Arabidopsis thaliana: one gene and its partners. The protein of the gene in region 1 interacts with the protein of each later gene in a biochemical or structural test. Each region holds a gene or a part of one and is shown on either strand. Other genes may lie near its edges.

What was found.
Region 2: the proteins of UBQ1 (region 1) and SUVR4 form a complex in vitro, tested with the Arabidopsis thaliana proteins (2 studies listed by BioGRID, with this or other methods).
Region 3: of the proteins of UBQ1 (region 1) and UBP16, one has a biochemical effect on the other in vitro, tested with the Arabidopsis thaliana proteins (one study listed by BioGRID).

Annotation. Positions count from the first base shown.
Region 1 is NC_003074.8:19,503,407-19,507,438, reverse strand, and holds UBQ1 (ubiquitin extension protein 1), read right to left. Parts: upstream 2,061-4,032; 5' UTR 1,772-2,060; coding exon 1,669-1,771; intron 1,582-1,668; coding exon 1,495-1,581; intron 1,410-1,494; coding exon 1,307-1,409; intron 1,110-1,306; exon of another isoform or gene 1,068-1,109; intron 928-1,067; coding exon 861-927; intron 785-860; coding exon 758-784; 3' UTR 507-757; downstream 1-506. Other genes in the region: CWINV2 (cell wall invertase 2), read left to right, coding at 1-80, 165-359; AT3G52580 (Ribosomal protein S11 family protein), read right to left, coding at 2,738-2,805, 2,891-3,020, 3,117-3,202, 3,599-3,644, 3,722-3,841.
Region 2 is NC_003074.8:1,159,745-1,165,537, reverse strand, and holds SUVR4 (SET-domain containing protein lysine methyltransferase family protein), read right to left. Parts: upstream 4,173-5,793; 5' UTR 3,937-4,172; coding exon 3,912-3,936; exon of another isoform or gene 3,896-3,911; intron 3,508-3,895; exon of another isoform or gene 3,495-3,507; coding exon 2,605-3,494; intron 2,412-2,604; coding exon 2,149-2,411; intron 2,066-2,148; coding exon 1,999-2,065; intron 1,897-1,998; coding exon 1,846-1,896; intron 1,557-1,845; coding exon 1,463-1,556; intron 1,228-1,462; coding exon 1,171-1,227; coding exon of another isoform or gene 1,148-1,170; exon of another isoform or gene 1,082-1,147; intron 1,031-1,081; coding exon 999-1,030; 3' UTR 561-998; downstream 1-560. Other genes in the region: AT3G04390 (Aldehyde oxidase/xanthine dehydrogenase, molybdopterin binding protein), read left to right, coding at 29-163; PDLP4 (plasmodesmata-located protein 4), read right to left, coding at 4,579-4,586, 4,817-4,936, 5,021-5,389, 5,646-5,793. UniProt on the Arabidopsis thaliana protein: Histone methyltransferase that converts monomethylated 'Lys-9' of histone H3 (H3K9me1) to dimethylated 'Lys-9' (H3K9me2) in the absence of bound ubiquitin, and to trimethylated 'Lys-9' (H3K9me3) in the presence of bound ubiquitin.
Region 3 is NC_003075.7:12,678,952-12,686,934, forward strand, and holds UBP16 (ubiquitin-specific protease 16), read right to left. Parts: upstream 6,026-7,983; 5' UTR 5,578-6,025; coding exon 5,297-5,577; intron 4,873-5,296; coding exon 3,591-4,872; intron 3,486-3,590; coding exon 3,400-3,485; intron 3,273-3,399; coding exon 3,187-3,272; intron 3,082-3,186; coding exon 2,919-3,081; intron 2,822-2,918; coding exon 2,698-2,821; intron 2,612-2,697; coding exon 2,454-2,611; intron 2,046-2,453; coding exon 1,961-2,045; intron 1,865-1,960; coding exon 1,655-1,864; intron 1,193-1,654; coding exon 1,131-1,192; intron 1,032-1,130; coding exon 542-1,031; 3' UTR 249-541; downstream 1-248. Other genes in the region: DIC2 (dicarboxylate carrier 2), read left to right, coding at 7,595-7,983. UniProt on the Arabidopsis thaliana protein: Recognizes and hydrolyzes the peptide bond at the C-terminal Gly of ubiquitin. Involved in the processing of poly-ubiquitin precursors as well as that of ubiquitinated proteins.

The DNA of each region.
Region 1 (4,032 bases):
AGGAGAGGATGTACAAACCATCGTTTGCTGGTTTTGTGGATGTCGGTCTCCTTGACGGAAAGATCTCTCTAAGGAGTTTGGTACGTCACAAACTTAAATCATTTTACTGAATATTACTCTTGTATAGAGAAGCAAATAGGTAACATAATTGAGTGAATTTGCAGATTGATCACTCGGTTGTGGAGAGCTTTGGAGCAAAAGGAAAGACAGTGATAACATCTAGAGTGTATCCGACAAAAGCAGTAGGAGAAAAAGCTCATTTGTTTGTCTTTAACAACGGCTCACAACCTGTGACCGTAGAGAGCCTCAATGCATGGAACATGCAGAAGCCTCTGAAGATGAACCAAGGTGCAAAGTGATCACATCATTCTTTAATTTTTTCGTTGACAAATTTAATTCATTCGTTAAAACAGAGAGTCTGTCACAATATATTGTAGAAAAAAGGAACCTATTGTGTTTCTTTTACAATCAATACAATTTGTACATAGTTTATCACTACTAACAATGTATTGATCTTATATTTTATTAATGAAACACGTCTCCTAATCACATAAACGGTCATTATTTCACGATACTTGTATAGATTGGAATTAAGCAAGAATCTTCCGTAATCGATTCAGAATAATAGAAAACCAAATCCTTTTACTGACATTATCTTTTAACATAGAAAGTCACTGAAACAAGAAAAACAAACCCTATCAAAGGGAAGACAACAAAAAAAAGCAAGCAAGAGATGGGATTCTTGATAAGAGTCTCTCTACTTGATCTTCTTCTTAGGCCTCAACTGCAAATAAAAAAAGTTTGTTCAGATATCATTTCAGCTGATAAACACCAAAAAGAAACAAGTAACAAAAACAAACCTGGTTGCTGTGACCACACTTCTTCTTCCTGCAGTTGACAGCTCTTGGGTGAAGACGAGCATAGCACCTACCAAAAGATGCGAAATTTACATTAGAATAATCTCATTGAGACATCAGATCGGACCATAGATGACAAACTATCCAACAAACAAGATGTTTCAGCAATCAAAAATACAAGCTTCAACACATTTTCAAAACCATTTGCAAAAATGTACCATTCAAGAAAATCATCTGGAAAGATGAGAAATTTGACCAGCTGACAAAGTTTAGAGAATGGAAATGTTTGATATTGGGAACATTTATAACCTCAACACGCATTGTATAAGGCTTGAGAAGCTAAGTTAATTCCCATTAAAACAACTAAAACCCTAACACACTAATAAACATTTGGTACTTTGAACTATTAATCAACAAAACTACAATCTTAGGGAGAAATTGAAACTTACTTGCGGCAAATCATCTTATCCTGATTGTACTTACGAGCAAGCATCATCAAGGAAGGCTCAATAATACCTCCTCTAAGCCTCAACACAAGATGAAGTGTAGATTCTGTTTACAAATGATAACAATCCATTAGAGTTTATACAATCAGATCATCGAAATGATCAACAGAAGGATTCGGATGATTTCGTACCTTTCTGGATGTTGTAGTCAGCCAAAGTACGGCCATCTTCGAGCTGCTTTCCGGCGAAGATCAATCTCTGCTGATCCGGAGGGATTCCTTAAAGGAGAAACAAGTAAATGATAAGAGATCTGAATTTCAAAAAGCTAAAGAGAAGAATCCAGATTGAGTGAGGAAGAATGATACCTTCTTTGTCTTGGATCTTGGCCTTGACATTGTCGATGGTGTCGCTGCTCTCGACCTCGAGAGTGATGGTCTTGCCGGTCAAGGTTTTCACGAAGATCTGCATCTTTTGTGTTTCGTCTTCTCTCACGTAGAAACCCTAAACAAGGAGGAGGCGGGTTTATATATGTCAATGTACGCGTCTAGGGTTTTGCTAATATTGGGCTAGGTTACAGGCCTTTACCACAAAAGGCCCAGCCCACTTTCCAAATTTGCATTTCTACCTTATGCCTTGAGATTTGAGTGGGCTTTTAAGATAACATTTTAGATATCTCTCTCATTAAAAGACCACTTCTCGTTAGTCGAAGGTTTCATATGCACAAAACCTATGAGATTGTTGGATCTTGGTCAGGGTCTGATACATAGAGTAGCTATAACAAATCGTTTCTATCATTCCCAAGGTCCAAAGACACTACATGATTCTAAGATTTATTTGTCAAAAATTTCACCTTCTTGCTGATGATGAGGCGATTGACAAGAGCTAACCAAAAAACAGATCCAAACTTAGCTAAGTCTAAGATGGATATTATTAGATCCGGATAAACCGGAAGAAGGTCCGACAAAACGGAAAAGGAGATCCGATCTAAATCGGAAAACGAAATATGTTACAAAACAAAAAAAACAAAGATACATTCCGGTCAACCGGAAATCGAACTTTTTCTCTCTAAAAGATAAAGGTGAGATAAGAGAGAGAAAGTTTGTTTTCTAAAATTCTGTAGTCTATGTTCAATTTGTGAAATATCCCGGGATATTACAAAATTACAACCAAATAAAAATATTTTATCAACTCCAATCAAAGATTTGGCACCTAAGACTTTACAAAATCATACAGCACAAATTCAAGGTTTTTTTGTGAGATAAAATGACTACCAATTTTTGAATATCTTATGGTCATACAGAAAAAGATCCAAAGCTGTTCAGAGTTGAGACTATAACAAAGCATAGTAATTCCAAAACTCTTTTCAAACTAAGAAAAAACAAAATGAAACATTGAGAAAGCTACATAAGGAGATCCAACGAGAGGCCAAATAACTCAGAGCCTCCTTCCTCTTCTTCCACCCTTTCTGCGGGTACTGTCGGTTGGGATTGGAGTCACATCCTCTGAGGAAAACAAGAACAATGTCAGAGATTTATTCAATCAAAGATGCAATTAAACAATTACAGTTGAAGATTGCTGCTGTTTTACCAATGCGACCAATTTTCATGCCAGAACGGGCAAGGGCTCTTAGAGCAGACTGAGCACCAGGTCCAGGGGTCTTGGTCTTGTTACCACCAGTGGCACGGAGTTTCACATGTATGGCAGTGATTCCAAGTTCCTGTGTTGCATAAATATATTCACCAAATCGATTAAATATAGAAACATAAAAGATTATCAAGTTGTCTGCTTGGTAATGCAATTTCTTTGCCTTTACCTTGCATCGCTGAGCAACATCTTGTGCCGCAAGCATAGCAGCATAAGGTGAGGACTCATCTCTGTCGGCTTTCACCTTCATTCCACCTACAGAAGTAGGAAATCGAAACAGCAATTTTAGCAACCCATTGTTATTTAAGAACAATGCAATTTCCAAACAGATAAACAAAAGGAATTCCTCAAAAGTTAAACGAACAAAGACTAAAGACACTTCAGCTCACACCCTATAGAGAAGACCATAATACTAATAACAATGGTAACTAACTTAGTTCTATAAGCAGGAACATTGATGCCGTCAAGAACAAAGCAATTTCTATAAAGATATCAACGGATTCCTCGAAAAAACTTAAAAGAGCAGATACTAAGCAGAACCTTTAGGCAGTCAAGAACTTCATTTCACACTCAACAGAGACTACCGCATACAAGTTAACAAAGGGATCATCACCAAAGGATTAGAGAGTGAGAGTTGAAAGAGATGATTACCAGTGATGCGAACAAGTGTTTCCCGTCCAGACAAATCAGTCACGTGCTGCAATTGCAGATATAAGAAGTTCAGAAATGTACATAAAAATCTAACTTTGCTTGAAAAATAAAGAAGCCACTCACAATGAAAGTGTCGTTGAATGAAGCAAAGACGTGAACAACTCCAAAGACTTGCTCTCCTTCACGAACAGCTGGTCCAAGAGTCACATTCTCAACCTTTGGCTCTTTGGTCTTTCTCTTCGACTACAAAACCAAACAAAAACTAGCATTATGCATTTGCAATATCTAATAAAAACTTCTCAATTTGATAACTCAACGCTAGAGCCACACAAAAAAAATCCAATGTCTCAGAAAATTCATATGATCTCAGATCGAAATTCGAAGAATAAGGATTGCTTATTAAACATTTTCTCACTTCAGACCACCACACAATA
Region 2 (5,793 bases), about 18 Mb from region 1:
TCTTGTCGTTTTGATTGCCTCTTAATAGGTTCCTAATGCGTCACCTACTGCTGCTTCTGCGAGCTCTGATATGTATGGTCCTGCAGTTTTAGACGATGTTAAGCATATTATAGCAAAATTGGAGCCTGTTACATCTAAACACAATTTCAACACCATTCGCTGAGGGTAGCTTTCGAAGAGCTCAAGTGGGGAGATGCAGCTCATACATGGATTAAACCATGAGCTTTACTCACTTGCGGACCTGGAAACTAAAAAATACCTTAAGAAGATGCTTTACTCACAACATTCCCTTTCTCTTCTCAAGGTATGCAACCATAAGAAGAAGCACTTCTGAATTGGTAGAAACAAATTTGGAACTGATGAACCTAGGATTATACTTTGTTTAATCCGAATAGAAATGTTGGTCAAAGTCATATATGTAAGTAACTTCCAGTCTCCAGTACATGTAACATTACAAAGATATAGGTTTCTTCAAATCAGTAACTTCTTGGAGAAAAAAAAACAAAGAATGTAAAATTTGATAGTTCCAAAAAAACTAGCAACAATGTATAAATAAAAATATAAAATATGTAAATAATTCTTCTATGATGACCAAAATAAACCAATAAATTACAACTTCTAAGTCTAAATATTAAAATTTTGTTTAACATTACAAATCATTGATGCGATGGATCACTCTTGGCTGAATTTACCAGTGATGGGCTCCTTTTCGATCCAGTCTTTACGCTCTAGAACTCTATTAAAAAAGGTTTATTTATTTTGACATATGCCATGAAATTTGAAGAACAGAACTAAACAGTGAGTTTCTTTGGTTAGGCAACATAACACTTTTTTTTACCTAAAGAAGAGATTGTAAATGAGAAAAAACTGCAGACCATAAAAGTTGTATATGTCATCAAGAAGGAAAAGCTAGTTGAATCATGCAGAGCTCGCGATGGATCATAGTGTTTTGTGAGCTCATGCTTTCTTTAATGTTTAACTCTAAATAATGACCAGTCTCATTTGCGCTTTTTAGACACCTCTTTGGAACCTGCATTTTAAGAATTGGCGGTTGTTACCTCAACGACTGAATCATACACTTTAGAGAAATTCTAAAGGATCTCAAGCTTTAGGCAGGGATAATTGATGCTAAGCCTCTAAGGTTATATCATCTTAGACATTCTTTCTCACCTTGTTGTTTTTTAGCAGAAACAATCTTTCTTCTCTCTATAGACTTGCCTTGAGATCCTGACATGACATATCACCGGAATGCATAATTAGCCAAGAAATATAGTTTCTCTTTTTTTGGTGGCATCATTTCATTTCTGTGAATCAATGTACTTTGCCAAATCATATTTTTGGCTCGGATCTCATACGAAACTACACAAAATCTAACTTAGAATGTGTAAGCAAACGAAGGAAGTAAGCCAGCATTCTGTCACAAAGGTTTGAACAACAAAAGCAATGTGTAAAGAAAACTGACCTTTTATTTTTCTGTCTCTGCATGATTCGCTTCCGCAGCAACATCTAAATGCCTTTACAGGATGACTTTTATCATTGAAGTCTATCATGTAATCCTGCGATTAGAAACACAGGTTTTTTGAATTGAGTATCTGTACAACTCAAGAGAGGATAACGTTATGGGACCAGTAGAAAGACGTGTTTGGTTCCATCTCTCTATTGATGAAGTCATCTACAAACACACCAGAGATCTAGAATGGCAAAATCATCAGAATGCTCTAATCTAATAGCTTTAGTGCAATATCCACAGTAAGAGCGCAAAACTTCTTTAGCCATGTGAGTATTTGTAACTATGTGGTCAATACAAAGTAGTTAAAACTAAGGTAGCTTAATCATGGTGCTTACCCATGTCAACTCATCCATGGCCTTCACGTCTCGTAGGGTAAAAAAAGCAATCTGCACATGACCAAACCCAGACTCCTTAAGCTCACTGAAATTTACTTTCACAATCACTGCTTTCCGGAAGATCAGGTTAGAGTGGAGAAAACAGATACTTACATGATAATAATGTCTGTCAGGCGTCTCTATCTCTATCGGAATATCAATCATGTTTGCATCCTCGCATCTGCATCAACAAAAGTTCACAAGAACCATAAACTCTCAAGGGAAGCACGAAAAAATCATAGCACAACGAGCGTTGATTAATACCTGTGATTGATAAACCTTGCGACATTTCCACAGATTGTGGCATCCAGGCAGAGAGCTTCTTCATCTTTTAGATCCTTTTCAGAACCCCAGTCTGCATCCAGAGTTACAGGATATGTATGTCGTTCACTACTAGACCTAACATTCCGATCGTATAACTCCGTGTTGGTCAATATTTCACCAATGTATTCACAGATAAAGGTTCCTTTGGGCAAGTCTTGCAGTGTTCTAAGACCCCATCCTTTCCCTTCTTGAGTAAAGTAAACCTGAAACAATATATTTTGCTCGTCAAACAAATGAAAGGAGAAAATAATAATTCAAAAAAAACGGGGAGAAAATCATAGAAATAGTTCAAAATTATGAGGGTGCCAGACATCAAGCCAAGAAGCTATATAGAAGACTAATTTAAAATAGGATGGTCAGCATATAAGATTGAATGTAGTATCCTAGAAATGTAACCTGCAGTTGGCACCTTATCCCTCTCTGTACTACTCGATTTCCACACTGCATATCACATCCACACTTTCTCCAGCATTCCTTGATGAACTTTCGGATTAAGTGTCCATCACATTTTCCATATGTGCCCTTATCGTGATCTCTCTCCAAAGGGCAGTCTTTGCAGTAAACTTTAGGGAACGAATCTGGTTCCTTTTTCATCTTAAGACAGGTGTCCAGAAACTTTTCCTTTAGCAGCCCTTCTTTGGTATAAGCATATTCTCCACTGGTTTCACGAGCACAAGTGCAAGGAAAGTCAGCTGAAAGACAGTTCCCTTTGCAGTTTGCGCAGCAATCTTCATCAGAGATTCGAGCCAGAGACACGTGGAGATAAGCACTTTGGTAAACAATGTTGTGAGGGATGTAAGTAAACTTTGGCACAGCTTCACTCCCAACATCATCGACAAGAGGGATTTTAACGCTCTCTGAACCTTTAGTTATGTCAGCAATTCTGCTTTTATATTTCCTCTTGCGATCACCATTACTAAGCTGTGGCTGCTTCTGGACTACCTGAATGGAGGAACCTGAGGATGCAGAACGGGTTTCGTAAGTTTTTTTCAGAGTAGCAGGAGAGTCAATGACCTTAAGATTCTTCCCTCTATTACCATTAGATGAACCTTCACTTTGCTTATTCTCATCCTCAACAGAATAAATAGCGTCGACCAGTGCAGTATAGTTATCCAACTTTATATACGACCAATTGCCACCAGCCTCTTCTAGGAGCTTCATAAGCACTGGCATTGTCTTTTCATCGGGAATATCCAATTGCCTTGTTCTCTCTAAAGCTTTGAGTACCTTCTCGTCTTTATTGGTGAGCATCGCTTGTTGCATATCGAGATCACTTTCAACAGAACCTGCAAATACACACTAAATATCTTAATTGGTAAAAAATGCCAAATTACTAGTTTTCTAGTGATAAAATATAATCTGGTTCATATGTATGAAACTGCTAATCACCAAAGTAAAGACACATCAATGCATCAGCTATCCTTAAAGATCTGCGAATTTTGAATAAACCCAATCCTTATCAACAATCATCCAAAAATCTCACCAATCAAGAACCCTAAAAACAGATTTATGCCAATTCCAAACAAAACAAAAACGGCGATCTCATCAAATCGACAAAGACAGATTCCAACATTTTTCAAAATTTCAAGCTTAAACCGTTCTGCAACTCGCGGAGTAAGAACCCACATTGATCAACACAATAAGAAAAGAGAATGCATGAGAAAAGCAAAGAGAATGCGTAACATACAAACAAAAAACCTTACTGGTTAGTCCGGAGAGACTGATCATACAGAACAATCGGAAGCTTCTCGAATCCAGCCGCCGCCGGCTAAAAAACACAATTGTGGAAGAAGACGGCGAATGATTGCATGCAAAGAGTTCGAACTTTCTGTGAAAGCTTACGAAATTAATAAATTAATCAATTTTCGAATTGATAAATACCCTAAAACAGATCCATTTTAAACACACTTTTCCACAGTATCTCTGTTTCACTGCGTCGTGCGTGAGTATACATACAATTGTTTATAGATTTTGTTTTTCCGTCGTGGACAGATTTATTTCCAGATTTATTTCCATGATTGTGTAGGTCCATTAAAATAGGCCCATTGACTAAAAAGCACAGCATAATTAAATAAAAGTTATGGGCTATAACGTGATATGTATTAGTTCTGGGGGTTACAAAACATAAATATATAATCTTCTTACTTCAAACGTCGTACTGTAGTTATTTTTTTTTTTTGTTAAAGCAAACGTCGTAGTTATTAAAGGATGTTATATAACTTTTAGGGCAAATAGTTACATGATTAATTACGTATCCTACCACTTTTATTTCCACAATCGAAAAATGGAAAGAAGGAGGTTTTCCTTGGTTGGTAGAACAAATACAAGGAACAGAATTATTTTCCCAACATCTCTCTGATCATGTACCCTTCAACAATCTGCAATAGGATAATTAATTAGTCAATTCAATTTTGTATGTACATAATTAAATAGTTAGAACATTTGTGTAAGAACTTCATAAACATGGGATCTATATAATTATAAGTTTCTAATATTTTCGTTTATAATTAGCATGTTTCGTTTATATTAGCATGTCTCTACATTATAATGTTTTCAAATTAAAAAAAAATAGAGTAAAACGATATCAAATCTAATAGTAATAACTTACCATCTCCTTTTTTCCGCAAGCTTTTTAGGAACATAAAAAAGATAGCAACAAAGACCAATGCCGCTACTCCTCCTACAACAATCGCCAACGACTTCCCCGTGTTTACTTTTGAACCTTCTTCTGTCAAAAGAAACAATTCGCAACTTAAGTACATAATCAACTGATATTTGTTTTGGTTCAGTTTTCTTTAATAACTGTACGTACCGTGGTATGAATCATTGGGAAGTTCATGTGGGTGATATGTATAACCGACGTGGCACCCTTCTAAGTATATTTGTCCGGCTATGGACCACCGACACTCTTCTGCTGCTGCTGCCGCGGCTGAACTTATGCACTCGCCGCAATCGCAAGCTTCAACGTGGCCGTCGCATTGAGCCACAACGTGGAGGAGCTTGTAGCTATCCTCATAGAATCCGTGACCGTCAACAACTCCTGTTTCGGCTGCAGTGAGTGCCTCCGTCCTCATCTCTTCGAATCCGGGGAAAGTCTCCGCGGTAGCTCCATCGCATATCTTGTGGATGAGACCGTGTTCCGGGGTCTCAAATAACTTGTACTTGTGATGATTATTAACTTCTTCCAAAAATAACAAGAATCATATTTATTTTACGTAATGAATCGTTTACTTTAATGTGAATTCAACTTAATTTGTTTATCACTATCCTTCAATTTTTCTCGCGAGTGGAAAATTTATATACCTAAGAAATAATATATTTTTTGATAAAAGTATAAGAAATTTTACTATAAGACCAAATAAGTAAGAAATTTTCCAACCATTTTTTTCTGTACACGATTTTATGATTTTTTGTCAACAACAAAGATGAATACTTACGAGCGCCAGGGGTATCAATACGTTCGAATTTGTATATCAAATGACATCCTCGAAGATGAATACGAGCTGACGTGGCATTTCCACACGATCTAGACGAAATTTCACGAAGATCACCAACACATTTATGGCAGATCTCACTCGGATAATC
Region 3 (7,983 bases), on another chromosome or scaffold:
CTCTTTTCATTTTCGGATCACACTTGCTTCACAGTACTGTGTTGAATGTTGTCTCTTCTATTTGGATACTTTCTTGTTTCGGTATCAACATATATGGCTATATGCTTTTATTTTGTTTGCCCCTGAAAACATCATATGATCTCTTTTCTTGGAACTGGCAAAATTGCATCTTTTGGGATTTTTCTTGAATTTCTGAACTGAACTGAATCCAAAGATTCAAAGTTAAGCAAATTGCAAAAGAAATAAAGGTGCAACGATGAGACAATATTAGATTAGCTTTATTGATTGATTATAATAAAAGTCAAAACAACTTATTAACAAAGGTAAATTCCGTTCCATTACGTGATACAATTTCATGGGCAAAAACTCTCTTCCCCACTATACACTACTATATACCACCACTTCTCTCATTAACCACTTTCACCAAGCCTAAATACGGGTTGTTAATAAAACCACTCAATCTACGTGTAATCAAATCTACTTTCTTCTACTACTTTTGACTTAGTTGGGGCCAAGTGGACAAAAAACCATCTTGTTTCCCTTACCTTTCTCCTCCCAAGGGCAACTGATGTCTTGAGGTTCCGTAAGTTTCTGGAGAAGAACGACTGAGCGGCGAACGCCTTGTGAAGGGGGGAGAAGATGAGGAAGACGATGATGTTGGTGAGGGAGTCTCAGACTGTCCGTGAGCCCGTCCCTGATGATCTCCAAAAATGAAATCAGCAAAGTCGTCCATGCTTGTACTGTCTGTGCTACAAGAGCATTCATCTGAGTTGCTGTCAAAGAGAGATGAACTGTCACTCGCCGAGTCTTCTTCTAAAATCTTCTGCAGCCTCTGGAAACTAGAATAAAATGACTGTATATTGCCGGATCGACCACCACCAGGCGTGTTGGAAGACAACTCAGGACTTGAAGTAGACACAGACCGGGATATGGTACTTTTCTCATTAGCCTTAGGTAGTGGCACTCTGCTTTTTTTATTGGATGCTTCAGTTTTGGTACATACTGCTAATCTTGGAGGCGTTGGAGTGCACCTGCAGTCAATTCATTCGATATATACCATCATAAGTAACCAGATCGAGCATAATCCACAACTTTAAAGAGTGTGAGAGATGCATTATAATATTATTTACCTTGCGTAGAACAACATATACGCTCCCTTTGTCAAGATCCTTTCCACATCCGAAGTTACTACCTGACAATAATCAATGCACAACAGAGGAATTAAACATTGAAATTTTCTTCAAATGTATGATGCAGATATATGGATGATGACGAGAAGAGACCAGTCAATGAGTAGAAGCCAAAACATTTTCTCTCACAAAACCAATCCTACGACTCTTCAGACTACAACAAAGATAGAAACCCCAATGGAACCAGCTAGAATATCCTTTCTAGAAAACAACTTCAGCATATAAAAGGAAGGGGAAAATTATATAATACTTATCCATTCAAAATTTCAAACTAAGAAACTCATCACTGAAAAGGAAGAAGCAGAAAATTGTAAACCTAAAATGCTGTCATAGAAGTAAGATACTCCTAGTTAATTCCAAAGTTCATCAAATAACAAACTCAAGTAAAAAGGGAACAAAAAATCGAGCTTACTTATAAACTAATTCGCAAACAACATTCCATTGATAATATATGAGAAACTTACCGTGCTATCATCAGCCTTGTACCACTTATTTTGGTTTCTAATATAGCAGACATAATGGCCAGAAAATGCTGCATTCATTACATCCAAGTGAACAATAACTCCATAGAGTTTGTAGTCATGTGATTTTTCACTTCCCCCACTGACATATGGAGCCAAATCTAGAGTTTCTGGAAACCTAATCAACTTATTGAGCTTCCCGAATTTCCCTGCCTTTAAGAATCAAGTGTCGCAAAATTGTGAGAAACAAGAGAATCCAGATAGAACTAAACAGAAACAAACCGGGTATTCATTGAAGATATAAGTTACCTGGAATCGTTTTAGTGCAATGGTAAGGACATTCGGAGGCTCTGTTATTTTCAGCTTCTTTTTGGCTCTCTCATAGGATTTACAGCTGCTCACAGGAAAATAAAAAAATTGAGTAAGCACCCATCAATCATTGAATGTAAAATCGTACTGCCAGGATTTACATAAGAGGTTACAGGTGATTAGTTAAAACTACGCAAATGAAAGACCATGATAGTACTTCAAAAACATTCTGTCTTCATAAGCTAGAAGGGAATTTTATTGCAGCTGGTCGTGGAATCTAGGTATTGTAATTGAAATATATGAAAGGGAATACTTTGGCAGGCCATGAACTCTACTTCAGCTGCCCATGAACTTTAAATCAATCGGTATCATACCCAACTCAGAACCATATATAAAGCTCATGTAAAACTCTATCCTCAGAACCATGAAAAGATAATTCGAAATATCAAAGGACCACACGAAGTTCAACACATGGAAAGGAATGCTGACCAACCTGCCACATCTGTATTTGTTCTCTCCATCCAATATCTCAGTCCTTGTAAATCGACGCAAAGCATCATCCAGGGTGCTAATATCTCCATCAATCTCAACCGTTAGATCCATCATTTTCTCACGCAGCTCAGATTTTACTTGACATTTCATGCATTTAATCTGGCAGAGATCATAAGTACCAGGATTACAACTCCCTCCAAAACAAAGTAAAATGAGTAAAGTACAAATGTTGTAGGTAATGATACCTTTGACCGGAGGTATCCCCCAAATGTCAAACCAATAAGAGTTGTATCTTCTAATTTGCTACTCTTGGTCATATCATATTCAGATGCCTTAATGCACACAGACTGCATTGTATCGACAACAAACCTGCAAATTGCAAGGAAAATGAAATTAACACAGATCTTCCAGTTATAATAAAGATATATGCAACAAAGTTTGCTCAATTTCAGAAATGTCAGTTCACCTAAGGAATTCATGTGCATCTTCTTCCTTGCCATTCCCAAGAAAGATTCCAATATTCTGCAGCTGAGATAGCAAGCCATTAGGGGACAGTGGAGACTTCTCTTCTTTTGCCTTTACGACCAGCTTCTCAAACCCACAGGTGAAGCACTGTTCTTTTTTTGTACCTATAGTTAAACGACTTATTAAAGGCTTGATATATTGATGATAATAAAAAATAACCTTCCAAAATAAGCAGCAAAAAGAAAAAAGACTTAGAACCAGTGACGCACATGCTCTGGAATGAAATTGCTGGAGGAAGTATGTCGTCAGAGGAGGAGTGAACATAAGGCATTGAAAGACAACATTAGCAAAGCAGCTGCAAGAAACAGAGTATATTCTTGCATCAGCGAGTGTAAGCTACACATTTACTTTACATTTTTTACACCACAAGCTGAAGATTATAACAGCTAAAAACGACTAGAAAAAGAGGAAATTGGAATTACCTATTGCCAACGTTGATGAGGCCACAAGGCTGGAACTCAATTTTATATGTATACAGTTTAGCAAAGACTTCATATGGAAAGAGCCCCTGCATGTCACCAAAAGATTGATAAGAAAAATAGCTTTGCTGATTTGTTAATGTAGGAACTAAGTATTGCATAATGATGATAACATCCTAGAACTCAGTGATTACCTTATGACCATGTCTTCCTGCCATCTCATTTTCAGACTTCGGTCTGGTCCACTGGTCTACAACTTTCAGTACTGATGCCTTTAAACCACTTCTTCCATGTAGAGAATTTATATGCTGAACGACAGCACCATTCTGTTTCTGATGATCAAGAACTCTTACCGATTTTGCACCTAAAGGAGAATGCTTCATAAGATCAGCACACTTCTTGGTATTCGAGGCCTTGGATGCCAAAAGTTGGACTTCCCCAACCTTCAAAGGGGCCAACATAGAGCCATTTTCACTACTAGCGCTCTTTGACTTCGGAAGGGTCACATGGGACAAATTAGAAGAGTCCAAAGGACTCAGCGCATCAGTAGAAGAGGAAATTGGTAATGCAATTTCAGCTTCATCAAATCTTTTAGCATTTCTTTCTCTTAAGTTTACTCCATCAGATATATAACCAGTCCCCCTAGGAGCTTCTTTTAAAATGCTACTCCTCTGCTCAGAAACTTTAGCAGCTGAGGTGTCTCTAGAGGAGCCAGAGCCAAAGGAGAAATGCAGAGAGGAGTTACCAGGTCTACCAGATTTAGATTTAACACAAGAATCACTCACACGTTCGGCTGATCCAAGAGCCGTACCCCAAAAATCAGATGACTTCAGAGATGGGTCAGCTGATACTGGATGCCTATCCGTAACTAATGAGTGTAAGCTCCTTGATTGGCTCTGGTTCTGCCCAGCATCATCCTCAGGTTTATGTACACTTAATTTAGGCAGATTAGCGAGATTATCTACAGATTCAACCAAGTGCACAAATTTTGGAGACAACAGTTTGGATGGAGCATCTTCAATGGTGCTGAAACAGGTGTCTTCTGGCTCTACAGAGACATGAGCATCAAGTAGGGACTCTGATCTCTCGGATTCAGATGAACTGAAGCTCTCACAACGAGAAATCTCGTCGCCAGAGTCATTACGGGGGGAGGAGGAGAAGCCAGAAAACGAGGATCCAGATGTTTCAGCAACAGAAACAGCTTCTTCCTTATCTATAAGGTCATCTTTGTTATCTGCAATATCTCCATTCCCATCTTCAGGAGATCTGGCACGATTAGATAATAGTGATTCCCCGATTGGTATAGTAACTGGTTCTGGACCCACCAGTAAAGTTTCCTCAGGAGTATTTTGTCCATTTTCTTCTCCTAATCTCAAATCGGAATCACTCTCATCTTCACTATCATATACAATGGAAGCAGGATGACATTCATCTTTGTGACCTTGCCGCCAGTGAATGATTTGACATTTCCCGGAACTGGAAAAAAAATAACAAAAACGAAACAACTATCACTAAGATATGTAGGTAACGAAATTTCACATGCGCTAAGGGGAAAAGGTTGAAAATTTGATAGACATTATAGTACATTTCTTAAGCTATCTAATTGAAATAAATTCCTCAGCAGCACATAGTTAGTTACTCACAGATAAGCCATGAATCAAATACTAAACTTCCTCCCAAGCTAACTAATTACCCATAATTTTGTTAACATAGAAAAAGAAGTCAATTTTCTTAAATCTCTGATCCAGTATCGCTAAAGTTACAGAACTAACTTATATTCTTTGCCTACTAATCACTCCAATTCATCACGTCTCAGCAGAGAGTGCAGCAGATGCAATCATAACTCTAAGATCATACAACGTAATTTGGACATGGAGAAAGTGAGAGAATTTTTGCATACCAATATCGAACGGCTTTGCAGCGAGAGCAACGAGTCGTGGCAAGACAATAGCAAACAGGACAATGGAAGACATTAGAGACGGCAACAGAAGAGAACTCAACAGAGGCCTCTAGCTCAGCCCTGGCAGCCTCTTCAGAAGCATGAATAAGAAGTCTTCTAATCTCCTCCCTTCTTTGGGCAGCGACCCTCCATTTGTGACGAACAAAGAGACCGATCAAAGGTAAAACAAGAGAGACCACAAGGACTAGACTAGAAATCCCTAGATCCAAAACAAGGAGCATTTATCCTCCACCAGATGCACAAACAATTGGAAATAAATCTGAGCACCAACCATAGATTTCACCGGCGAATAAGCCGGGAACAGAGGTGACAGTGAGGATCAGTCCGGCGATTTAGCACATGCAGAGAGAGCGAGAGAGAGAAGCCAGGAATCGATGGAAGTTATAATTTTTTCGCTGGTGGGTAAGCTTCCAAAATGATGACCCAAGAAAATCCAAAGATGAGAAGGAATAAAGAAAACCCTAGAGAGCACAAGTTGGGTTTTCTATTGTTCTCTGGGAAAAAGTTGAAAAAATCTGGTGCTTCTGGTTTAGGGTTTCGAAAGAGGGCAAGAGTGGAGAGATTCTTCGGTAGAAGGACGAAGAAATTAGGAGGCAGTATATTACTTTTCTATACCAAGACGCTTTGCTTTTTCATTTTACCAGACCAGACAACCTTTTTTTTTTTTTGCTCTAACGTCATTTGGAAATCATATTTTTATTACCAGGAAGCCCTTCTTTTAAAAACAAAATAAGAATAATAGTTCAACGGAAATATGAATTTGCATGTTGACAATGATAAAAAGTTATGAATTAGTCAATTAAAAAAGTGTGTAAGTTATGTATTAGTCAATTAAAAAAGTGTGTATGATGGGATATTGTAGCTATCTATTATATATGTATATTTAGTGCCATTTTCGTGTCACACCATGTCTTCATTTTTATTTTTCTTTACCATGTGTTATACTTTTTTGTTATAAAAAGTTGATATATATATATTATCGCTTAACTTTTTTTAAGTAACTATAAAATGGGTATCATATATAACAAACATATATAAGTATTTTGCAATTTATGCGATATATAAAAATAAAATAAAATAAATCTACACGATTCTATATGTTATATTATAAAGATCACGCCATATTATTCTATCTATAAGAATACAACGTACGGGATTATATATGATAGACGATTGTATTTGCGGGACATTGAGATGTTTCCGAAAATAGTCATCAAATATCAAACCAGAATTTGATGTGAAAACACTAATTAAAACATATAATTGACAACTAGACTATATCATTTGTTAAGTTGAGCGTTGAAAGAAAATGAAAGAGTGTAGACTGTAGTATGTATGAGTTTCCCAAAGGATGGTGCTTGAATATTATTGGGAAGAGACTTTGGTTGGTTCGGTTGAATGAAGATTTTTACCTGCCATGTTGATAGAGAAAGGCAAATAAATGTAGGGGTCGATGTCTAACGTAAAGACTGGATCAACCAAGAGTCCTCCTCCTCGTCTTCACCAAAAAAAAAGAGTCCTCCTCGTGGAAACTTATTTCTTCTCCAGCCAAGATCTCATCTCATCTCTTCACTCTATGAAATATAAAGGAATCTTATGGTTTTTCTAAAAACTATAGTACGTCTATATACCAAAGGAAACAATATAAAATCAGTTAATCTGATAAATTTTGAGTAAATAATAAAGTTAACTTTGTACTTACCTATATCAAACTAATTCACAAAATAAAGTAATAATAACAAAGAATTTTTAGTAGATCCACAATATACACACACACTATGAGAAATCATAATAGAGAATTTTAATGATTTTGTCTAACTCATAGCAACAAGTCGCTTTGGCCGAGTGGTTAAGGCGTGTGCCTGCTAAGTACATGGGCTCTGCCCGCGAGAGTTCGAATCTCTCAGGCGACGTTTCTTTTGTTTTCGGCCATAAAGGAAAAAGCCCAATTAACACGTCTCGCTTATAAGCCCATAAAGCAAACAATGGGCTGTCTCTGTCTCACTCACACACGCGTTTTCCTACTTTTTGACTATTTTTATAACCGGCGGGTCTGACTTAATTAGGGTTTTCTTTAATAATCAGACACTCTCTCACTCGTTTCGTCAACATTGAACACAGACAAAACCGCGTCACAAAACAAAACTCGCTACAAATAAATACCTTTGTTTCCCTCTTCTTCTCCTTCACTCACAACATCTCAATTTCATTCTCTCTTCTCTCTCCAATTTCACAACAATGGGAGTCAAAAGTTTCGTTGAAGGTGGGATTGCCTCTGTAATCGCCGGTTGCTCTACTCACCCTCTCGATCTAATCAAGGTTCGTCTTCAGCTTCACGGTGAAGCACCTTCCACCACCACCGTCACTCTCCTCCGTCCAGCTCTCGCTTTCCCCAATTCTTCTCCTGCAGCTTTCCTGGAAACGACTTCTTCAGTCCCCAAAGTAGGACCGATCTCACTCGGAATCAACATAGTCAAATCGGAAGGCGCCGCCGCGTTATTCTCAGGAGTCTCCGCTACACTTCTCCGTCAGACGTTATATTCCACCACCAGGATGGGTCTATACGAAGTGCTTAAGAACAAATGGACTGATCCTGAGTCAGGGAAGTTGAATCTGAGTAGGAAGAT